4 linked regions of the Schizosaccharomyces pombe genome follow. The gene in region 2 interacts genetically with the main gene of each other region. Each region holds a gene or a part of one and is shown on either strand. Other genes may lie near its edges.

Region 1 (6,320 bases), 3.7 Mb from region 2:
TCAACTCCATCGAATTTATTTCGAGCTTTATACACTGAACCATAACCGCCTTTACCAAGTAACTCAAGTTCTTCAAAATCACTTGCATATCTTGACCTTTGGACTGTGGGAAAGCTATCAAAGTTGCTAAAAGACAAGTTACCGGTTCCATCTTTGTGCTCACAAAAATCAGCAAACGTGGAGGACTCCAAAGTGGTTTGTGGAAAGCAAGATTCCAATGCTTCAACTGGTAAATGATTTAACCTATTAGACAATACGTTTACTGAAGGCTTGACATTCATCACATCGTCTTCGTATCCACCATCACTCAATACGCTCAAGAAGGAAGCAGTTTTCGCCAAAACGCCATCAGGGCTGGAATACCTCGATTTCTTAGAATCCTTAGTAGAGCTCATGGGTAAGGTACTCCGAAAAGCTTTAGATAAGAGGTTATGAAGAGAATCGGCATAAGCATTACGAATTGGTTCAAGCTCCTCGGAGAACTCAAAATCTATGATACCTGAATTTTGAAGCGAATGAGCAACATATAAAAACATTTGCTTCGATTGCTCTGGAGTTTGATCAGAATGCTTACAAAAGCTTTCTAACAACGCAACGAGAAGCAACTTGCAGGAACTTTGAGTATCCGCGGTTTTTTTTTCGAAATTCTGTTTGTAACCGAGACCAATTGTCGGCATAATCCGACTGATATTTTCCTTGGCATAGTTGCAATCCCTTTTCGAACATTTAGTAGAAGTGCCGAGCATTCTTGTGTGAATGAATCAAATCAAAGCAAATAAGAAAAGAGAAAGAAGAATTGAATAAGATGAGTAATTTAAAACATGAAAATTATTCCTTTTTTTTTTCTCTAAATGAAACGAAATGTACAATCCTAATTATCAGTCTATATTGAATATATAACAATAATAGTAACAATGCTATCTATGAAAACAAGAAAGAATTTGCAATTAAGGAACGGTAAAACTATTATAGAAAGAAGGTACGTTTAAGTCAATTTATATGTCTGTATATGTGTTGTTTATGTAGCGGATTTCCCCGGATACCTCTCCATATTTAAGTTATTGTGGGATTTTCACTATCGTTACCTCTATTGCGATACCAACTTTTCTAGGTAACAACGTTCAGCCCCTTTCGTACTGAATGTTGGTACAGTTTACATGTGTAGCCGACTGCATCGGAGGAGGAATAACTATCGAACATAGTCAATTCCGATGACAGACAGCCTGAAATTTTCGCACTTTTAAAGAGGAACTCGCCATTTTCATCACTTCTACGTAAAATGTATAGCGATGCCTCCAAAGTACAAGAAAGAATAGGCGGAAATTAATAGAAGCTACAGTCAATGGCATATATCTTCTCAAAAAAACGATTAAAATATTCAATTTTTATTAAGTATATATTTCCCATTGAGCACTTAAATGTTCAATTGAGACTTTATAGATTTCTGAACAGTTGCTTGTCTAAAAGATTAAAGAAAGATGAACCAAGGTTTATTCATATTCAAGTTAATTGCTTGAAAACATACGTTTGTGTTTAATCGTATGTATCTCTCATTGAAAACGTGAAAACATATGGATTTTATCAACAGATTTTCTGTGACTTGAACATTATATTTCTTTTTGGTGTTATCCTTTTAAGAGATATCAACGGAATAGTAAAACACTGAGTTGCCGAGATTACAACAACTGTATAAAATAAATAAAAAAGAACGGTAAGATCGATAAAGGAAGAGAGAGAAAATAAGTATAAGCATGGTAGATGTTGATTAATCTCTTTTCATTTTAATGTACATTAAAAATGTGGCTAGTCACTCATAACAATTATTCGTTAATTAAATCAAATCATAAACAAATTGAAGTAACCTTAGTCCACATAGGTACTAATGTAGTATGTTAAAACAGCCGTATGTTCATCTTCTGGATCTGTTATATAAACATAAAGTACTAGCGCATGTCCTTCACAGAAACCTGTAATGTAAAAAGGTTAGTTCGTGGTCATAAAAAGGATTCTCTCATAGTACATACACGCTATTACACGCTTTGCAACACTGGATATTTTTAACATGTTGACTAAGTCCTTGCTGTCTAGTCTCATGTGAACAAATTCTTCGGGTGCCCTTGTTTGAGAGGGATGTCGACTGATGTCTTCGACTTGACTAGGATCTAACTCTGGATTCTCTAATCCTTTCCATTTTGTGCTTACTCTAGCTGAAGGTATGTTTACCGATAACTGCAATTCGCCTGACATGTTGGCTGACATTATAATACGGTCTGAAAGACTCTTGTATTTGTCCACGACGTGTCTTAGAAAATTCAGTTGTGGAAGGAATATATGACAGTCTGGTTCAGGAGCAGTTGGTTCCTTAATAACTGACACGTATGATTGTGATAGTACTCGAACAGGTATATTATGAGTCACAATATTCGAACCAAACGCCCTTCCACTCCAAGTGGTAGACAACGAAAGTAATGGCTGGTTATTCTTCTTGGATAGACGAACAGTAGAATCACTAGCGTTGGCCGCTGATCGTAAGGCTTTATAGAAATTATCTATAGGAACTTCTAGATTTATCACGTTGTCTGCATTGCTTTGGACGACATAGTCCTCAAATATTGTTTCCTTTCCGTTTACGTTAGTTAGGGCAATCAAATAGAAAAAGATAGTTAATCATACGACTTCTAAAACTCTGTTTCTTTATTAGTTTCACAATGTGATTTTTTTCACCGTTAAATGCTTAATATCTTCACTTACGACCAAACTTGAGTCATCCTAAAATCTGGCACTATCACAAAATTTACAGTTTCAGGCATCAGACGAAGCCAGCAAAATCTTCCAATTTTATCTAGCGCCTGAACAAGACCTAAATTTGATTAGTAAACGAACTTTCTGCTGATCTTTTCCAACTTACGCGTCAACGTGTACAAGTTGCTAATCCTTGTTTTAAATCTCATTTTCAGTCTTTGATTTAACTAATGAGATTGAGATTTTTTGGCATTTTGTTTATTCAAGCGTTTAGCAGGTTAAAGTCGACCAATAATAAATTTTCGGTCGAAAAAACTACGAACGCGTAAAAGCCAGCTAAGAAATAGCAAACTGGGCATTAGCAACTGCATCGCAATCTTTATTAAGCAAATGCAAATTTTAATGGCAAGTGGAATAAAATTAATGAATAAAATTTAAAAAGATTTACAAAAGTCTTAGAGTCTAAAAAAAATTATACTCAAGAGCCTATTCGTTGTATCATTTATTTCATACGATTAGCTATTCCTAAATTTTAAATTACATTAAAAAAATAAATGGCAAGTAAGAAGGGTTCTAGCTAGAGCAGGAACATTGAATTTGGCTTTTGGAGGGAGTAGTGTTATAGCATAAATAATCCTCTTCTTCCTTGGAAAACCCCCAAGTATCTTCGAACGGACAGGCAGCCATTTTACACACTTTTTTAAAAAGCTCAAATTTCCCGATGTATGCTTCTTTAATCACCTCTTCAAGAACCCAATTTCTAAGAGTAAAATGTGGGTTGACTTTTTTCATGCTCGCTAATCGGGATGAATCTTCCTGAGTTTTCGTTGCTTCACTATATCGACCAACCCAATTAGTGAAAGCTTTGACAGATTCATTTCTAACTCTTTCATTATTCGGGTTTAGACAAATACATGCTTGCATCAATTTTGCAGCATATTCTTCATTCTCCATTGAAGAGGGAGAGTTTCTAGAAAGAAAGGAAAAACAATTTGGCATATCCAATTCATAATCCTCCAAAATTTGTAACAAATCAGTTATCAGAATTTTGTTAGATGAGTCAGAGGGAAGACCCACTCGTTTGAACATAAGATCATAGAAATCATTCTGGACAATATTTTTATACTCTTCTACTATCTTTTCAAAAACTTCAGAAGTATAAGCAAACGCCTTTTTTAACAAATCAGTAGAGTTATGAAGTTGTTCCATATATTGCAAGTCATCAACTTTGTCGCAAGCTCCAATTAACTCAACCAAAGCAGATGCTAATTTTGATAAATTCCAAATAATAATATCAGGTTGGTTGCGATATGAATATCGCAAAAATACATCGTCATGATTAGGTGTAAAAGATGGGTTGTAAACATCTAAAAATCCAAAAGGTCCATAATCAATTGATAGTCCCAGTATACTGGTATTATCAGTATTCAAAACACCATTCATAAATCCATATGCTTGCCATTTGGCTACAGTTTTAGCATTTCGATATGCAACATCTCGAAGAAGTTTTTCGTAGCGATTTCCAGTATCTCCACCATGAAATCCATCTTTTAAAACGAAATTTAGACAATAGTCGGCTAATTTCCGTAAAGACTCAATTTGATTATTAATCCCCTGGAGATCGAAAGTCCCAATTCTGATCCAAGAAGGGGCCATACGGCAAACAACGGCGCAAGGCTCTACAGTCTCACGTTGTGCTACAACACCTTCAAGATTGGAAATTGCCAGAGCCTGTGTTGTTGGAATGCCTAGAGCATATAAAGCTTCACAACATAAATATTCTCGAATGCTAGATCTTAAAACAGCCTTTCCATCTGCAAATCGAGAGTATGGTGTTCTTCCTGCGCCTTTGACTTGAATCTCAAAGCGTTTTCCAGTTTCCGGGTTGGTAAGTTCGCATAAGGATACTACGCGGCCATCACCCAACTGACCTGCCCAATCCCCAAATTGGTATCCTCCATAACATTGCGCCCAAGGACAACACTTATTGACATCAACGTTAGAACCGACAACAAGCTGTTGAAAAGCTTCAGTTTGAGTTTCAGATTCTTCGAGTCCTAATGACTTCACGGACGAAGGGCTATAAGCTAATAATTGAGAATTGGCTTTTAGTGATGGAGTCAAATAAGTAAATAAGCCGCCGCCTTCCACAAATCGAGGAACATGTAAGATTCTGTCATCAGCCTTTTTCATTGCCTGTACGGTCGGTACCAGTGGATCAGGCGGAAGATTTGATGTGAACGTTGAGCTGACAGGGAGATCCTTCAATTTTTTTGACATCGTATTGGTATATCGAATTAATGTTCTTTGCATACCAATGTTTGATTGTGCCCCAGTGTAAATTTGCTTACTTTATTGATTATAATAACAATAAAAGCAGCAATTCACTTACATTTGATCAATAACAGATCAAGTAGACTAGTACGTTGAAAATAGCTGGTAAAATACATGCTATGTGATCAATGAGCAAACTAATGAAAACATCATTTTAAAATGATAGCGAATGAACAGCAATTGTTATATTAATATGGAATGGCATTACTTTGTAGATCGTTGGATTTCGTAATTTGTTAATTAGCATTTTTAGGAATGCAGAATCATTATATATAGAGGAATATTTGTAACAATTTCAATGACTAAATAGTGGTAGATGAAATCTACAGAATTAAAAAGTCGGAACTGAGAAAATAAAACTAAGCTTACTTACTATACCATACTTGAAGTAGATGAATAAAAACCTGCAAGCACCCAGGCACTCAAACATTTCAGCTAGTGGTGGAAACTGCGTAGAACTAATTTCTCTATGATTGCTTGTCAATTACATTGGCAAATAACTTGCAGTGTTTTTCATATACCGACTCATCCGTTATCACATGACAAATTTTTTAAAGTAGATATACTATTGACAAATTAAATATCAACAGGAAACCAACGTACACTTAAATCTTTGTATTTATAGTTCTAAATATATAGAAAAAGATATTTAAGGAGCGTTGAAGGATCGGTTTGCATACCGAAACGAAGTTATTTAATTTCATTTCGTATTACGCATGAGTCAAGAAATCGTAACCAAAAGTGTTTTACTTACGAGTAACCTTCTCAAGAACTGTCTCATAAGCAACTTCGGAGAAATCAGTTGCTTGGATGTCAGTACCGATTCCAGTAAAAGCGCGACGTAAAGTATCTTTAGAAGAAGAGTAAACCATCTTAGATTTAATGGGAGCAACATCAGGAGACCAGCTAATAAAGATAATCTTGTTACGAACACCTTCTCCGAGATTGAACTCAAAATCATAGATAGCATAACGGCAATCCTTTTCAGGCAAGTCACCAAGGAAAGTATCGAAGTCCTTATCCGTACTCTTCTTTTCAACAACAATTTCAGCTAAACAAAAAAAAATTAGTGAAAGGTTCCACATAATTATAAAAACGACATAGAAAGACATTACAAACATAAAATATATATCAATGTAGATAAATAAATTTATTTTTAAAAAAAGGGATATTGGACTTTCTCAAATTCCATCTAAATCGTTTTCGTCACTTACTCTTGGTATCGTTCATTTTGAAAACTACGT
Region 2 (5,809 bases):
CAATATTCGATTATCAAAAGAGCATAACATTTATTTTTATCATTTATTGAACTTAGGAACTACAAGAGTTTAATTCCTAATTCCTTTACTTCTCATCGCCTTCAAGAAAGAAATTATGCATAGAACTGGAAGTAGAGTCTCATTGTCGATGATTCGCAATCTCCAATGAAAAAAAAGAGGAGGTGTTAGTAATAATTATCCAAATACAAGTGTATACGCCAAAAAAAAAGGATATTGAAGGAAGAAATAATTAGAAGAGTTGAAAGCCATCTGTTTGAAAGCGAATTAGAAAGATCTAACACAATATAGGTTTTTAAATTCCAAGAAATACATGCTATTCTTGCTGAGGTAGTATCTGGTGGTCTTGTCTTAGAGACAAATCTGAATGAAATTGTTTTGGCAGCTCAGAATCAAATGCCAAAAACCAAACGGTCCAATGCAATGCCATTCAGCAATACATTAAGTTCTTTTGCTACTAGGTTCTAGTGACTTTTATGTATATGAAGAAGATGCATGAGTATTGTTCACTAGAAGAACTGGATAATTATAATCACCATAACGCATCTGTTTCGCTTGATTGTATAATGGTTCCATTTCATCGTCTATTTCAAATTGGAGCCCATTTTCGAAATGTGAAGTTGACATCCCTGGGATAGAAAAGTAGGACTTATTTGATTGTGGAGAGTTTTGACTATTGTTAATGAGACGCACTCGAGATTGATCATATCGAGAAATCCAGTATTTCGATTGACCTCCCTGACTGTACCGAAGACCATGACTTGTTCTATTAATCCTTCCATCGTTTCTTGAAGGTATTAAGTTCTCCCCAGGCTCAAAATTTTGATATACATAACGATCTCCATGTAGAGTTTGCAAACTATCGCACCAGACGTCTTTCAACCCGATTACGTCTTTAAAGGCTTTAAGGAGCGGTAGTCTTGCACAAGACAGCCATGTGGGTGTATCGTAATCCTCGATTCGAAAAGCGTACCAATGTGAGAGGGCAAAAAAGGGCATTTCTAAACACATGAGAACGTTCTGATTTAGTAAGGAGTAAATCCAGCCTGTTCCATTTAAAAGTCCCAGCCAGTTTGTAATGGAAAGAACGGTTTGCTGCCAGTAAGAGGCAAATATAATAGCTTTAACGGAAAGGAATTTTGGGAAAGGGCGAAAAGGAGCGAGCTCTTCATGCAAGCAAACCCAAAAAGTTGTTAGTGAATATAAAGAAAGCGTAATTGAAATGTTATAAACAAGACCTATCCAAAGGTCTGCAGAAGCATAAACAGGTTGATCTTCTCTGTCGTAGACTCCGGTGACTTTTGTTAACAGCACGGCAATCACCAGAAATGGTTTAAGCCAAGTGTATTGTAAAATCCCACGTTTTATAGAAAGGAAGGTGTAAGGATCACTTAGGTCAATATCATCTTGCAAATAATTCAAGGGCCATAACCTAGGACGAGGCAGATGTCCATGCAAACTAATAACTGCAGCCCGTTCTCCGCCAAGATAATCAATTAATAAACAGAAAAAGCAATACAAAGCGAATGCCTAATTTATTGTTAGAAATTATTCCATTAAAACCTCAATTACGCCTCATTAACTAACTAAACTAGTAAACCAACATAGTACAACTCATAACAGCCAAACCACTCTTTCAGTCAACCCCTTTTCAAGCATTTTAAAACAAATCTGCAATATATTGATTGCCAAGGAAGGTACTTCATTCAATGGCAACGGCTAAATGAGAAAAACCTACCTCGTAAATTTCACGAAACGGTTCGAAAATACTTCCAATTTTTTCATTGTATACCGATAAAAACGATACAGAAGAGTAAATTACAATCCTAGCAAAGCATTAGTACATTTCTATATCAGTCAAAGAATTTCAATTTTACGAACATCATCAAAATTCGCACCACAGAACGCTGTAAGACTGGTTTTTTGTAATTTTTCAAATGAGTAATGATAGAAATACATGATAGCACTAAAGCAATGGCTACGAAGAAGCCGCATAATGCGACTATTTCGTTGTCCATGAAATTAGAGCTGATCGTGATGAAGGGACAAAAATGCAGGCAAGGTGGCTACCACAAGCTATAAGGGGGCCTTCTCCAATTCCAAACAGATACTACCTACTACGGGCTTTACGGTGTTTGTACGCATAAGCTATAGATAAAGTACCGAAACTTTGTGATGTGGAAGAGTTCATCGAAGCTAATATTGATTTACCTCTTTAGTATGGATATTGTTTTATAGCAAAAGTAAATTAATAATACTGTCTTACAGGATAATTTGCCCTATAGCTGTAGTACTGCTGTAAAAATCATTTGTTTCCATAATACTAGCAATTCGTGATCTTTAATTAATCTAATTTTTGTTTTTTTTTTAAACTCTACTTTCCTCCCTTCTGTATGATGGAGGACCTAAAGTAATGTCTCCCATAGCATTCTGATGATTCTTAAGCTGACTTTTTGAAAAAGAAGCAGTAAAATATAATGAGTGTTTGTTTCTTAATGCGTAGGAGAATTTCGCCTTGGCATATATATGGCTTAGTTAAAAAATTATTTCTTTTATAAAATTGAGAAACTCCAAGTCAGACTATTACCGCATTGTATTCAAAACAAATCACTTATAAATTTTAATATTTTTGCGCTCACCTGCGTTGTTTCTTGGATGTAATATCGCTAAAGTTCAGTAAATGAGTTGTTGAAGAAAATAAAATCTTTAGCCAAGACTGCAGACAAATTTGTATTTGTTAAGCAATGAGTAAAGACTACGGAACTCCTCCTGAGAACTGGAGGGAGGTTTACGATGAAATTTGTAAAATGAAAGCCAAGGTCGTAGCGCCTGTAGACGTTCAGGGTTGTCATACATTAGGAGAACGTAATGATCCAAAAAAATTTCGATTTCAAACACTGGTGGCATTGATGCTTTCTAGCCAAACAAAAGATATAGTACTGGGTCCTACCATGCGAAACTTAAAAGAAAAATTAGCTGGAGGACTTTGTTTAGAAGATATCCAAAATATTGATGAAGTTTCTCTAAATAAACTAATCGAGAAAGTTGGTTTTCATAACCGAAAAACCATTTATTTGAAACAAATGGCACGTATTTTATCAGAAAAGTTCCAAGGAGATATTCCGGACACCGTAGAAGACCTAATGACTCTCCCAGGTGTGGGGCCTAAAATGGGATATCTATGTATGAGTATTGCATGGAATAAAACTGTTGGAATTGGAGTAGATGTTCACGTACATCGTATATGTAATCTTCTTCATTGGTGTAATACGAAAACTGAAGAACAGACTAGAGCTGCTTTGCAAAGCTGGCTGCCTAAGGAATTATGGTTTGAGCTGAACCATACACTTGTCGGTTTTGGGCAAACAATCTGTTTACCAAGAGGAAGGCGCTGTGATATGTGTACTTTATCTTCTAAGGGCTTGTGTCCTAGCGCCTTTAAAGAAAAAAGTGGCATCACAATAACTAAGAGAAAAGTCAAAACGATTAAAAGAGTCAAAAAAAGACCTGCTTCTGAGTCACCTCCTCTATCTCCACTCTCCCTTCCTACAGATGATTTGTATTACCAAAGCATCGAAGATAAATCACTTATAAAACTTGAGGACTTGGACCCTGTTGATAGTATATCACACATGAATGAACCTTTGAAAAAAGAACCAGCCGCTGATATTGATGTAGATCAGAAGCCACCTGTCGCATTCCATTCAACTACAAAAGAAACTAGGTCACTGCGCAGGTCAAAGCGAGTTGCAAAAAAATCATCCCAGTATTTCTCCCAACAAAGTTTACAAGATATTGAAGATCTGGTTTAATTTATTTTTAGGACCGTAAATTTTGGACAACATAAATCTGTTATTTATTTACATGAATTACTCAAAATTATTTATTCTTTACAACTCCGTCTTTAAACATATTCAAGAACCTTTTGCTACTGACTGTATAGTTATAATATCCTCTACCTTTACTTTTTAATAATTTTTTTAAATCTTGGAATAAATTGAAATCATTAATGTTGTTATACCCTTCAACAAACAATGCAGAATGTAAGATACTCGTTAAATACTACTAAGAACAATTGGAGTTTCGTCGAACATATAATAAGTACAAAAGTTTTCGGTTAAATCCTCTGTGTGAGGCGTATACAGCATCCAATCGATAGGAATGGGGCCGGTTATAGATATGTCAGGGCGCACTGATGGTCGATCGGCATCAAACGTTCTGTTCAGTTCATAGCTGCTACCCCTCGCATCACGTAAAACACGGTTTTTACGGACCAGTCTGTTTAAGCTTCGAGTTATGTTCGAATTTTTAATTTTTCTATTCGAGTATTTACTAGAATATTAGTAATTGACGATGTCAGGAAAATATATAGAAAACTTACGCTTGAATAGTGTTAGTGATAGTAGAAAAAGAAACAGCAGCAGGGAAAGATTCTAAAACTTGTAAAACTATTTCATCTTCATTGCTATATTCTTGTAAGTATTCATCTATGGTAGGAATTTTTTCACTCTCCATGTATTGCTTATCCACTTCAACTGGTTCGGTCGAAGGTAAGGACGTCGAATGCTTGGTTGTTTTCGATTGTGATTCTGTTCCATTATTTAGACTTAGATACTGATCTCCCGTTACAGGTTCATTCATAGTAGCTGTAAAGGCAGACCTTTTGCTTTGGAGCTCTTGGACAATAGTGGAAGTTTTAGGACTATAGAACGGGATGTCGGGATGTAATTGCTCACAGAATAATAGGATGTCAACCAGTTGGGAGATCGGAAGACTTAAAAGATAAGACTTTTTCTCTTCCGAAGACAGATTTAGTTCTCGTGCCGTAGTTCCAGTTACGAGAGGCGCTTGCTTTTTTCTCCTAATGCAATCATCACAAAACCATTCTCCATTGGGGGAATCTAAAAGTTCATCAGAAATATAGGGTTCATGACAAAGTTGATGGAATGGAGTGTTACAACCATCACAGAAAACGATGCGATTTTTTGGTGGAGATTGAAGTCGTTGACAAACCGAACATTTCATAGCTAATGCGACCACAGGTCGACGACCTGGGCCACGTCGTCTAGTAGGTAATTTTACAAGGGGATCGAAATGATTAGGGCGATGCACTTTTCTTCCTGATTTTGTTTTGACACCTTCCAAATTAAATTGCTCTTCCCTACCATCTTCAGTAGAAAAGAGGGCGTCAGCGGTGTTGTCACGTTCAATAGCCAAACTGGCAGGCCATGATCTTTTCCGAGCAATGTTCATAGCAATTGACATAGGAGGTAATGGCGATGAACTTGCAGGAACATTTGGGGGTAACGCAGATTTTGTTTGGGAATCAGCACTTCTATGATGCGCATAATTAGATGAAGATGCGTCTTCAGTGAAAGGTGCCTGTTCGCTTTTTGCATCGGTTTCCTGATTTTTACTAGATTCTATTTCTTTAGCAACATCATCATTTTTGTACGAACCGAAAGCACCTGACTCCTTGTTTGGCTCGTGAAAGTGTTGGAACTGATTTTCCAAATGCATGTTTGAATTCACGTTAGGATTTTGTATATCCTGAAAGGCTTGATCTATTAGCACAGAGCCTCCATTTTGATTAGATTCCTCCCCCTCAAACATCGTTGGATGCAAATCATTGGGAAATCGACGACTACCGTCGAATTGAAAAGGATATGATGCCGCTTCAAAAGAACCGCCATCGTCGTCATAGTACGATGAATTCGGCATTAGGTTTTAAATCATTCATATGCTCATGTAAAAAACAAATGAAAAAATGAAGCAAATGGCAAAAAATGCG
Region 3 (6,261 bases), 3.9 Mb from region 2:
ACCCCATATTCTTGCCAATGCTTTCAAGATGCAGCTCAACCTTTTAGAAAAAGGAACGATGAAGATCGATCATTGGTAAATTTAGTTATCAGTTGTTATAGCCACTTTTACTCTTTCTAAGGGTTTTCCAAAACCTTGTTACGACTAAAATACAGCTTCTTCGTGCTGTTATGACTTAATGTATTTCATTTTTACATTAATTTAATTTACGAAATAAAAAAAATCCGTATACTAAAATTAGTGTTTATAAGTTAAGGAAATTAGTTTTGAGTAAGTAAATCCAACAATCATAATGCGTATGAATTTTCCAAGATACACAGAAATGAGCGCGTTTATTTTATGAGCAGTATTCCTTTGAAGATTATTAATCTTTAGTTCCCCTGCAAAATTCGTAAGTTGGCTGTTTAGTACATACCTCTATATTACGTTGAGTTGTGAGTCAGCATTTCTGCTATTAACCTAGTATCAAACCTGCTTACTCAGAGAGGAGTACCACCAAAATTTAGGAAAGGATAATCAAGTATAGAAATTATCGTACAGTTTTGTCTGGATCAATAGTTTCCATTCACCAGTATTTATTCTGCAAATTATAATCTTTGTCGCACCACAATAACCTGAAAGTAAATATGGCCTCAAAAGTCGATTCATCTCATGAGTTCCCCAGCCAAATCAAGAGATGCTTGTCCTCATCCAAATATATTCAACTAGCTACTTGCTTTCATGATCAGCCTCACTCTTCTTTGATGACATTTACCTATTTACCTGCAGGAAGCGCTGCCCCTTACGAAGTGGAGGATTGCATTATTTTGTCAACAGGAGAAAACAGTAAAAAATATTTTAACATCAGTTCGGTATGTATCATATTTAAAAGTTTAACTTATCCTTGATCCTGATTGGTATTTTCTTTTTTCTAACATGATGACTAGAATCCTCGAGTATCATTACTAGTTCATGACTGGACCACTAATCGTCAAGAAACAGATCCTGATGCCTCCTCATTGTACACCTTACTTTATAAAATGAATCAGGCTCAGTTCTCGAATACATCAGTGACCTTGAATGGCCTTGCTACCGTTCTTCCAAAGAATAGCAAAGAAGAGGAATTCTTTAGAGAAAAGCATTTAAACACTAATGACAAGGGTAATACGAAACAATACGTGGAGGGTGAGGATATGAGAATTATCAAGATAAAGTTGGAAAGTGCGAGAATTTGTGATCAGAGACTCAACAACGTCCAAAAATGGAATGCAAGAGGAGATGAGACTCCATTTTGAGTAAACAAATGTTTTATGAGTGTCACTTTGCATTTTCTATTTTTTAAAAATCAATAATGTTTGAAGAATTTTTGAATGCTTCGTAGATCTAACCATAATGTATAATCGTGTGTATGATACATGGGAATTTTGTTGGCTACATGCTTTGCTAGACAGCCTAGTGGAAAGCGTCTTGTTTATACGTGTGTTAAATAAGCATAGAAAAAGTGAGGAAACGGTGTGACTTTAAGCTACCTAAATAAGACCAAACAAAAAGCAGGGAAATAAATCATGATTCGTTGAATAAGTGTATTATCATAAGTTGTTCAGTATCAATTGTACCTTTTTCTTTTTTTGAAGTTATCGGAAACACTAAAGTGCTGAGTGCTAAAATTATCATTTAGCTATCCTCATCCTCGGTCTCCGCATCTCCTCGATAATTCGGATCGTTTCGTAAAACGTTATTGTCCGACTGATTAGATTCTGCTGGTTCTTCTTCTTCATCCTCCTCCTCATCTTCACTTACAAGGTCCAAAGGAACAATACAAAAGTCTACAAACGTACAAAGCCCTTCTTGACCGACAAGCATGATTTGAATGCTCAAAGTTCCATTTTCATCAATACGTAGGTTTACTTTAGAACCCACTTGTAATGCTTTCAGCGCATGTCTTATTAATGAGAAGCGGTAGGAATAAGTGTTTTCAGAATCAGTTTCAAAAGACTCTAAAACACTTTTCTCGTTTGGATATTCTATTTCCGTAGTGGATAATGCCCCTACACATCTCAATAAGAAGGTTGATTTTTGGGATGATGTATGAATAATTAAATTTTCGCCCATGTTATTGTCTAATTCCACCAAGGCATCATATAGCCAGTTACTTTTCATAATGATCTTCGTGCACAATGTGCTTGCAAGTCTATTGATGTCAACGTCGTCCTCACATTCCATAGTCAACAGTTCACAAGCCGTAGCATAACCAGCCATTTCCTCTACTCTTTATTTTTGTCAGTACAGAATGTTAATGATAAAATCCTTACTCCCATATAAATGGACAGCCGGGTCCATTATACTGTACTTTGCAGATAACGCCTCGTTTGTGCATTATGTTTACAGTGGGTTGATCCCAGGCACTAGTTGAAATCCGTTCTTTTCCATCTGTATAAATTGATAATGATTGTAAAAGAGGTGAAATCATCGTCTGGAACATATATGTATCCCCATCTGAATCACCCTGAAAATTAAACGTTTGAAACAACGACTTATCAAGAAAGGCGTGAGCTTAATGTGTGAGTGAACAATAAAGAAAAAGTGAATGCATTTCAAGAATCGCATTAATATATGAAACTTTATTAAGTAGCTTCAAATTTTTTAACGATCATAGATGTGAGACTCGACTTGTCTTACCCTGCAAAGACTGCGATTCCTCCACTGCAAACCGTAGTCCACGACTTGTGATTTCGATAGTACATTCCTTTGAAAAATCAATGCATCGTAATGTTGACTGAATCTGCTTTAAGCATACTGTTTCTGCTTGAAACATGCGAATTTACGTCCAACAATAAAAAATTGGTTATATGCTACAACTTGAACACCCGTAAATGCTAATCTTATAAATTGATAATTTTTCCTTCTGATATTAAAGGACTTGACACTTGATTACAAGACCAAACGCAGAATAAGAAAGACAGTTCAAGTTAGAAGTTATTTAGTAAAATTCGAAAAGGTGCACAATTTTAAAAGGTATGCAGATTACTAAAGGAAATGAAAATTGAGATTGCTTTTTCTTTTTTAAAAAAAAAAAAATTGTGAAATATTTTATTCTGATATATAAATTTTTGGAAAGCCGTAAAGCTTAATAGACGAGTATTTTATTTATTAATTGAATAGCATCTACTTCTAACTGTCTTTATTTATTTATCTCTCGACACAGAAATTTTATCAAATTAAATACAAGTTTTAAGAGCCATATTTGAATTTACCAAATGATATTCAAAAAAGCTATAGGATCCCAGTAAGTTGATTGACTCAAAACTAAAGATACAATTAAGGATTTGTAGCTTAATGAATTTGATTGTTTATGAAACAAATGGTTCATTTATTAGACAAATATTGCAAATTGCCGAACTGTTTTAGTGATAATAGCTAAATTTAAATTGCTTTAGAAAATCCATAATTGTAATTTTATCATATATACAGTTAGGATGTCATTTTTACACCCTCTTTTGAAAAGTCATTGCTACAATTAAAAGAAAGGTAATACAAGATGGATCTAATTTCTTCCTTATTTAATCAACCTAAAAAATTTCGAGTTAACTGCATGCACTTTATTTAGCTTCTCTTCTCTTAAATAAACACTTTTTATCCTTCTTCCAATCTCTCCTTTCTTGGATATAAGAGTTGTATAATATTTATAAAACAGAGGGGAATTTACTTGCTGTTATTATTTTTTTCCAAGCTTAGATTCTGGTTTTCACTTTTGATACACTTTGTACATGCCTACATCTTACCTAGCTTTTACTTGAACTGGTAAACGAGAGGAATTTTAGGAACGAGTCAGGCGTTATAATTGAATTGCACGATAGTCTTTTCATAAGGCTTTTATTTTACTTGATGCGGCTATAAAATATAAGTTTGTCAAAATTATTTATTTTGTATCAGACGGTTTTCATATATTCAATTTGAAAAGGAAACTGGCGCATAAAAAATACATTATTCTAAATGGATGTAGATTCAATTTTTAAAAATACCGAGGAAACAAATAAGAAAAGGAACCCTGAGGAAGCAGACTCTTTGGAGCCAGCTAGTAGTCGCAGAAGACTCGCTGAAGAGAATAGCGATGAGGAGAATGAAGAATTTGACGAGGAAGGAGGTAGATTTTTTGGAAGTGGGCTTAAAAAGAGTGAAAAAACCGTTTTAGACTTTTTAGACGAACAGGAAGCCCAGGAAGAACCTGCTTCATTGACTCCTACTGAATTGAAGCGCATGGTAGTACGACTTGAAAAAACAATTAATAATAATCAGGAGTTACGCATCAAGTATTCTACTTCTCCTCAAAGGTTTATAGAATCAGAGGCAGATCTTGATCTGGAAATTCGAAGCTTCAATGTGCTTTCAGAGTATCCTATCCTCATACCCATTTTCCTTAAATTAGATTGTGTTTCCACGTTTTTAGAATTAATGAACCATGAAAATGCGGATATTACTATTACGGTATTGGAGCTATTGATAGAACTGACTGACGAGGATGTTGACCCAGACGCATTAAACTCCTTATTTACTTCCCTTATAGATTCTGGTTTGCTTCCTTTGCTTTCAAATACAATCAAAAGGTTTGACGAATCTAATGAGGAAGACCGACATGGAGTATATTGTGTGCTCTCTCTTATGGAGAATTTATTATCTGTGGACAATAGCATTTGTTCAATAATAGTTGAAAACACAACATTGGTAGAATGGTTACTGAGTAGATCGTCTGTTGATGAAACTTCTATATCAACTAATTTGCAGTACGCTGTTGAAATTTTAGCTATCATTCTCGCTAATTCAAAAGAAGCTAAATTGAAAGTGTGCAACTTGAATGGGATTGATCTTTTGTTGCGCCGGATCAGTCCTTATAGGCTTCGTGATCCAACCCAAGGATCAGAAGAAGAAATGATGGAAAACGTGTTTGATTGCTTATGTAGTCTGGTTCAAGAAACGAAAGGAAAATCCCTTTTTCTAAAAGAGGAAGGTATTGAATTATGCATACTAAATATGAAACATAAAGGAAAAAGCCGTTATTCTACAATCAAAGTTTTGGACTATCTTTTATTTGGGCCTCTTTCCACTCCTTATTGTATTCGATTTGTAGAAGCAGGCGGTTTGAAATATATTTTTGCTGCGTTTATGAAAATATCTGCAGCCGATACTCTGGAACATATATTAGCTATTCTGGCATCTTTATTTCGATCTTTACCTGCTGACACCGTAGAAAGGGTGCGCTTTTTACGGAAATTCATTGAAAATGACTTTGAAAAAATGAAACGCCTTTTCAAAATTTACGATCGCTTGAGAATCCAACTCAAAGGTATTGACCAAAGCAGAAAACTTGATTTTAGTCCTGATTCGGAGGAAAAGAGTACCAAATGGTTTCTCCAACAAATTGATCATGGACTGTTTCCTTTCCAATCTACAGTTCTTATCCTTTCGTGGTTATGCGTTGAAAATACAGTGACATTGAAAAAAATTAAGATGCTGTTTTCCGAAGCATCCATTCCAATTGATGAGTTGACTGATGCTCTAAAAAATTATCATGAAAACCTTGAAGAACCGACGGTGGAGTCCGAAGAGGTGGAGGCCAACGACTCTTACTACAGAATTGACGAAAAACCTATGGTTACTGTTTTACTTGGATCTATGCAAGCATCTGTGTAATAAAATCATGACTTGTTCTGATAACATATTTTCAATTTAATGAGTTGTACATTTGTTATTATGGAACATAAAGAGTGTTTGGTATTATAGAATTATATATATTTTTAAACAAAAAAACTAAAAATTAAACACTAGCAGTTCTTGATATGCCAGCATATTTGGAAGGCACAAAAGATATTCGTGTAAAAAATTAAAAGGTGAAATGTATATGTTATAATCAATAAAACTTCGGAATAGACGTTTCGATGATAATAAATGTAAATGATTAATCGGCTAAGTGTGAATACTCAGTTTCACGAAGTTTTTTCTGGAAAAACTTTTCCAATCTATCGGCATTTTTATAGTAAGTCGTGTTGGAGTCATTGTAAGAACGGCAATTATCAAATATATATTTTGCATCCCGAATAAATTCCTCTACAGACTCATACTGGTTGTTACGCAACCGAAATTCCATAGTCGAAAGGTCCATGGGGTGTTCAATAACTTCGTAATAATCGGGTACATCCTCTTTACTAACCGGTTGCATAAAGGGCCAGGAAGACGGATGATTTTGCATTTCTGTAAAAAGCATTTCCAAAACGGCAAAAAAAGGTT
Region 4 (6,230 bases), on a different chromosome or scaffold from region 2:
GCTTTCGAAGCTTGAAAAACCATACCGTCCGTTTCAAAATTATCAATACCGGAACCTTCTCTATTAAAAAAATATTTTTTTTTCCTTTCATTTTCATCCAAAGATCGACGTTCCGCCTGATCAAAAGAACTTGAGGAATCTGCTCTCTTTTGAGAGGACATTGATGATATAATCTAATGTGGAGAATATCAGAATTGAAGAAAATGCTCTTGTTTTTCTCCTTTGTATATCAAAAATTGATCACTAGCATTTATTATTGTATGGTAGGCAAATCGCAAGCATTAATTGCACTTTTCCAAAACTTTGTCCTCAACCTTGAATATAGTATGTTAAGGGTGTAAACCGAGCGAATTTTATTACTTATGAAGTAAGAAATATTGAAGTTGGAATATAAACAATGCACATTTGTAATATCTTCATAGTAAAAGAAGATTCTATTTTCGACTCTCTTTAGTTTTCTATAGTAGTTAGTTATTCGTTAGTCGTACAAATGTTACTTTTTGCTATTTTGCTAGATAAGTTTAAAATAGGAAAATTTAATGAAACAAAACTAAAGCAAAGTACAGTAATCAATATAACTTGGAAAAATCACATTCCGCAATAAATTGGAAACAATACACTTCCCAGGACTAAAACAACTTCATATAAGTGATAAAACATTAAGATAACCAAATAGTGCACTAGAATCAATCGGAAATTAAGTTATTTCAGCCCTAAATCAATCTGAAGCAGGTCTCCAATCCCAAATCATAATCGAAAGTAAGTAAAAAGTCATCAAGTCAATTGATTTTCACATTAAACACGAAAAACTACATCAACAAATTAAAGCACATATGTCACATTAAATTCTAACATCCAGTAGTTTCAAAATGGTAAAGGGCCCTATTAAATTAAAATAGAAAAGGTAAAATTGCGCTGCGAAAGATAGTTAGTAAATGATTTTAAATCCAGGGAAAAGACCAATTATCACAATCATTGAATACTTACCCTACACCCAAACCAATAGCAATACCACCAAGTGCTCTGACTTTCCGCTTTTCATAGTAAACTTCGCTTTCCAGTTTGGTGATACGCGACCTTTTCACAGGTACCATAGCATTGTAATCCTCGTTTTCCTCAAAATCCTCTCTACTTCTCTTCTTTGACTTTGGAGAGGATCGAATGGAAGATTTCAAAGTATCCCCAATGCTCTTTTCCAAATTCTCGAACTTCTTTTCCAACTTTCCGACAGGTTTTCTTACTTGGCTTGCAACACCAGTTACACCTTTGTTAACTTGATTAGCGACACCATTCATGCCTTTGTTGACCTGGCTTGCAACACCATTCACGCCCTTGTTAACTTGACTGGCAACATCGGTCATGCCTCTGTTAACTTGACTGGCAACGTCAGTCATGCCCTTATTGACACTTGACCTAATCTTTCCAAGAAGAGAAGGCTTGATAGGTGTCTTAATCTTTCTATCTTGGATATCAGATGTTTTTTCCTCCTCCTCAGAGGGTTGATCTTTAGAGGTTGATCCTTTTGCTTTATCATCCGAAGAAGAGGGTTGACCTACTTTTTCAGTAGAACTACCGCCTTCCTGCTTCTTGATTTCTGGCTCTTTCTTCTCAGACTTAATTTCATCCTTCGTTTCATTCTCTTCGGAATGTATTTCCTTGTCTTCTTCTTTATTATCATGTTGGAGGATTGTCTTTTTGGAATTCTCCAGATGTTCAGCAAGACGCTGACGTGTGCGCCTAGCAACAGAAGTGGTAGTGGCAGATGTCGAAGATTCAGGTTCCCCCTCAGATGTCTCTGATTTCTGCGCAGTGGGGCGTGAAGGAGTCGCATAAGTTGAAGGAGTGGAGGATGCCTCTAACAAGGCGTTAATAAACGGGGTCATGCTGTAGTCTTTGGCAAGAGCCAAGGCATCTGCAGGAGGCACCCATAGTCCAGCAACACGTTTGTCTTCAATTGGGTTTAAATTATCACGAATCCATCTCATTTCCAAGTCTTCTTCTTCTTGGGTAGCCTTAGGGAAAGCTGAACGAAACCTAATCGGGTTTAGATTTTTAGAAAAAGATATGAAAAAACGCTTACATTGACGTAGCACTAATGCTTGAATCCTTTGCCATCCTCATAAGAAAGTGAGGTCTATATTTATATACATCATTAGTATTTTTCCAAAAACAACACTGCAAAAAAAAGATAATTACACTTTAGATTCCGGATTTGTACACTTGAGACGAACAAAAGTAGCTGGTCCATCAGGAAATTCTATTACCTGAGCGCGACACTTTGGGATTAATGGTGTATCTGCTATATTAGTTTCACGTAATTTCGGGAAGCGCGTACGGTCAAGTGTATCGTCTTTATAGAGAGGGTTTCTAATATCAATTAGTCGTTTTCTTTAAATATACGAACCTTTCAGCAGGTAAAGACCTGCTTTTCTCATTCTCAGTCATGGTATTCAATTAAGGGGAAAGGTAACAATTAATCGCCGTCGTCGACGTTTGTATAATTCCTCTCTTACAACGTTTATGTAATAGCTGATTGTATAGAGCAATAGTGGTGCTACCTTAAATGATAATATCGAGTGATGCTAGGACGTACTTCGTTATAAACTATGTGCAAAGCAAGAATTACTAATTCTTTAAACACCTCGAGGTCATGTATAGTCGATGCTTATGCTGAAATGTAATGTTAATATTGTTTATTTGAAGATTCAATGTGGTTCCAATTTTTTACGCTTTTCTGTTGGGATACAAACTTAAGGAAAATATTCACACGCGGGCAGCACGCTGCCAAATGTTAAATATAAGAAGCGCTGATCATTTATTTCTGCTAGAAGTTTGTTTTGTCAATCGATCAGCCAGGTCGGCAAAAACGATGCGGCAGTAAGAAGCGTTCTTCATGCTACTGGTTGTAATAGTATTTGCAGAAAAAACCAATCGTTTCGCTGATGCAGCTATCTACGGTTCTAAAGATATACTGTATTTTATCGTAAACAATTCGCTTCGTTTACTCTACCTACATTGCGATTTCGCAATGATGGCTTCTCAACCAACTCATTAATGCTGATGGTATTAAATCTATTGTGAATTACACGGTAATTGTTTGTATATTTTTAAAGATGTCCATGTCAGCAGAAAGCAGCATTAAGACGGTTCATAATACAATATAAATGACCCGAATCCGCCTACTTCTGCTTCCCATACACACATATGCTACAGATGGTAAAATAAATTGTCGCGACTCCTTGACTTGGCCAAATTTTCATTTCAAATGTTTTTTCCTATCTGCTGTTTTTTTGATTGTTCAACTGAATCTGCAATTATTAAAGAGAAAGCAACACAATCTTTTTACTTAACATTGTATTGCTAAACTAAGCTCGATTTGAGAAACCAAAATTTCCTCGTAAAAGCAGTCCTATCTACACTGAACAATAACTGTCAAAAGTTGAATCCCTTGAGCATCAGTAATCTCATGGCCTTCCAATAAAATCATAGCGAATTTTGACGTAACAATGATACAAAACCATTTTTGGTTTACTGGGAATGAAAGAAGATTTGTCTTCACACTCGTTGATTTTGACTAGTATTGAGTCTCAATCACTTCTTGTCGATATCTCTTTTCACTTACAAGATAATAGTTGTAGGGATATAAGCAAGTTTGCGAAGGGCTTATTTCCTTCTAAATAATGTCATATTGATACTAAAATCGTTTTCATTTTTTAATGCTTAGGCTATTGAAACGAAATATTCAAATCTCTAAACGCATTGTTTTCACCATATTAAAACAAAAGGCATTTAAAGGTAATCATCCTTGTGTACCGTCGGTTTGTACCATTACTTACTCTCGTTTTCATTGTTTACCCGATACCCTTAAAAGTTTACTTCCAATGAGCTCAAAAACCACACTCTCAATGTTACCGCAAGTTAATATCGGTGCGAATTCATTCTCTGCCGAAACACCAGTCGACTTAAAAAAAGAAAATGAGACTGAGTTAGCTAATATCAGTGGACCTCACAAAAAAAGTACTTCTACGTCTACACGAAAGAGGGCACGTAGCAGTAAAAAGAAAGCGACAGATTCTGTTTCCGATAAAATTGATGAGTCTGTTGCGTCCTATGATTCTTCAACTCATCTTAGGCGATCGTCGAGATCAAAAAAACCGGTCAACTACAATTCCTCGTCAGAATCCGAATCGGAGGAGCAAATTAGTAAAGCTACTAAAAAAGTTAAACAAAAAGAGGAAGAGGAGTATGTTGAAGAAGTCGACGAAAAGTCTCTTAAAAATGAAAGTAGCTCTGACGAGTTCGAACCGGTTGTGCCGGAACAGTTGGAAACTCCAATTTCTAAACGAAGACGGTCTCGTTCTTCTGCAAAAAATTTAGAAAAAGAATCTACAATGAATCTTGATGATCATGCTCCACGAGAGATGTTTGATTGTTTGGACAAACCCATACCCTGGCGAGGACGATTGGGGTATGCTTGTTTGAATACTATTTTAAGGTCAATGAAGGAGAGGGTTTTTTGTTCACGCACCTGCCGAATTACAACCATTCAACGTGATGGGCTCGAAAGTGTCAAGCAGCTAGGTACGCAAAATGTTTTAGATTTAATCAAATTGGTTGAGTGGAATCACAACTTTGGCATTCACTTCATGAGAGTGAGTTCTGATTTATTTCCTTTCGCAAGCCATGCAAAGTATGGATATACCCTTGAATTTGCACAATCTCATCTCGAGGAGGTGGGCAAGCTGGCAAATAAATATAATCATCGATTGACTATGCATCCTGGTCAGTACACCCAGATAGCCTCTCCACGAGAAGTCGTAGTTGATTCGGCAATACGTGATTTGGCTTATCATGATGAAATTCTCAGTCGTATGAAGTTGAATGAACAATTAAATAAAGACGCTGTTTTAATTATTCACCTTGGTGGTACCTTTGAAGGAAAAAAAGAAACATTGGATAGGTTTCGTAAAAATTATCAACGCTTGTCTGATTCGGTTAAAGCTCGTTTAGTTTTAGAAAACGATGATGTTTCTTGGTCAGTTCAAGATTTATTACCTTTATGCCAAGAACTTAATATTCCTCTAGTTTTGGATTGGCATCATCACAACATAGTGCCAGGAACGCTTCGTGAAGGAAGTTTAGATTTAATGCCATTAATCCCAACTATTCGAGAAACCTGGACAAGAAAGGGAATTACACAGAAGCAACATTACTCAGAATCGGCTGATCCAACGGCGATTTCTGGGATGAAACGACGTGCTCACTCTGATAGGGTGTTTGACTTTCCACCGTGTGATCCTACAATGGATCTAATGATAGAAGCTAAGGAAAAGGAACAGGCTGTATTTGAATTGTGTAGACGTTATGAGTTACAAAATCCACCATGTCCTCTTGAAATTATGGGGCCTGAATACGATCAAACTCGAGATGGATATTATCCGCCCGGAGCTGAAAAGCGTTTAACTGCAAGAAAAAGGCGTAGTAGAAAAGAAGAAGTAGAAGAGGATGAAAAATAAAAATCCGTCATACTTTTTGATTTATGGCATAATTTAGCCATCTGCATTTTCAATGCAATCATTTTTGTCTTTTTGGCTCTAGATATTTCCGAAAAAATTCACTAGAGTACTATTTATTTTCTTATTTGCTTACTGTCCATGCTAATATTTAATCTAAAAGTTATTGTTTTATTTACAATCAAATTTCAATAAAACATTTCAATTAAATATAAAATTTAAACTAGTAATTTACGATTTACACGAATTATGTAAAACTTTAAGCAATTCCGGTCATATTGGTATTGTCGTTTTCTGATCAATATTATAATTCCTTTCCACTAATCTTCGTAAGCTTGTGTAACTTAACTGCAAAAATTCTCAAGGCTTCGAAAGATTAAATGAGCTTCTCTTTATTCATATACAATGTCAAACAAAAATCAAAGGAAAACTAAGTCAAAAGATAGAGAAGTTCGTAAAACCAATGACAGCTCAATTCTTTCAAAAGCCTCAGTTGAAAAATGTGGATATCCAGGTTTTACCGTAGGACATTCTTATTATCAACCGTTTATACAGAAATCACCTAGAAGATCGCCAAGCGTAAATAGAGGTTATTGGACACGATGCATGGCTATTCGATTTGCAGTGTACCAGTTTTTGAAGAATAAAACCGGCAAAAGAAAGGCAATAGTGAATTTAGGTGCAGGATACGACCCCTTAGCCTTTCAACTTTTAAGT

Evidence for each region.
Region 1: mutations in nth1 (region 2) and hus1 together harm fitness more than expected from each alone (negative genetic interaction), as found in Schizosaccharomyces pombe (2 studies listed by BioGRID).
Region 3: mutations in nth1 (region 2) and rad1 together harm fitness more than expected from each alone (negative genetic interaction), as found in Schizosaccharomyces pombe (2 studies listed by BioGRID).
Region 4: of nth1 (region 2) and uve1, a mutation in one rescues a mutant of the other (synthetic rescue), as found in Schizosaccharomyces pombe (one study listed by BioGRID).

Annotation. Positions count from the first base shown.
Region 1 is NC_003424.3:4,819,628-4,825,947, forward strand, and holds hus1 (checkpoint clamp complex protein Hus1), read right to left. Parts: upstream 3,077-6,320; 5' UTR 2,952-3,076; coding exon 2,909-2,951; exon of another isoform or gene 2,861-2,908; coding exon 2,752-2,860; exon of another isoform or gene 2,687-2,751; coding exon 2,674-2,686; exon of another isoform or gene 2,620-2,673; coding exon 2,025-2,619; exon of another isoform or gene 1,968-2,024; coding exon 1,864-1,967; 3' UTR 1,360-1,863; downstream 1-1,359. Other genes in the region: eIF2 alpha kinase Hri1, read right to left, coding at 1-746; fmp40 (adenylyltransferase), read right to left, coding at 3,316-5,022; adf1 (cofilin), read right to left, coding at 5,823-6,127, 6,291-6,320. UniProt on the Schizosaccharomyces pombe protein: Essential in controlling the S-M checkpoint that couples mitosis to the completion of DNA replication. It is also required for the response to DNA damage.
Region 2 is NC_003424.3:1,104,794-1,110,602, reverse strand, and holds nth1 (DNA endonuclease III), read left to right. Parts: upstream 1-2,726; 5' UTR 2,727-2,762; coding exon 2,763-3,830; 3' UTR 3,831-4,073; downstream 4,074-5,809. Other genes in the region: AP-3 adaptor complex subunit Aps3, read left to right, coding at 310-486; transporter Hfl1, read right to left, coding at 493-1,548, 1,757-1,844, 1,900-2,036; Lsd1/2 complex PHD finger domain-containing protein Phf2, read right to left, coding at 4,074-4,350, 4,400-5,739. UniProt on the Schizosaccharomyces pombe protein: Bifunctional DNA N-glycosylase with associated apurinic/apyrimidinic (AP) lyase function that catalyzes the first step in base excision repair (BER), the primary repair pathway for the repair of oxidative DNA damage.
Region 3 is NC_003424.3:4,975,152-4,981,412, reverse strand, and holds rad1 (checkpoint clamp complex protein Rad1), read right to left. Parts: upstream 2,836-6,261; 5' UTR 2,795-2,835; coding exon 2,659-2,794; exon of another isoform or gene 2,533-2,658; coding exon 2,292-2,532; exon of another isoform or gene 2,249-2,291; coding exon 1,654-2,248; 3' UTR 1,275-1,653; downstream 1-1,274. Other genes in the region: ach1 (acetyl-CoA hydrolase), read left to right, coding at 1-79; SPOM_SPAC1952.08C (pyridoxamine 5'-phosphate oxidase), read left to right, coding at 627-851, 927-1,274; SPOM_SPAC1952.06C (uncharacterized protein), read left to right, coding at 3,973-5,667; SAGA complex histone acetyltransferase catalytic subunit Gcn5, read right to left, coding at 5,933-6,261. UniProt on the Schizosaccharomyces pombe protein: Recombinational reparation of DNA damages induced by UV and gamma radiation.
Region 4 is NC_003423.3:2,837,072-2,843,301, reverse strand, and holds uve1 (endonuclease Uve1), read left to right. Parts: upstream 1-3,716; coding exon 3,717-5,516; 3' UTR 5,517-5,730; downstream 5,731-6,230. Other genes in the region: SPOM_SPBC19C7.11 (ClC chloride channel), read right to left, coding at 26-161; integral nuclear inner membrane protein Bqt4, read right to left, coding at 891-915, 988-2,034, 2,081-2,134, 2,197-2,296, 2,336-2,367, 2,405-2,445; tRNA methyltransferase Ppm2, read left to right, coding at 5,919-6,230. UniProt on the Schizosaccharomyces pombe protein: Endonuclease for the repair of UV-irradiated DNA. Involved in the excision of cyclobutane pyrimidine dimers (CPD) and 6-4 pyrimidine pyrimidones (6-4PP) which forms the UV damage repair (UVDR) pathway. Also functions in oxidative damage repair in vivo.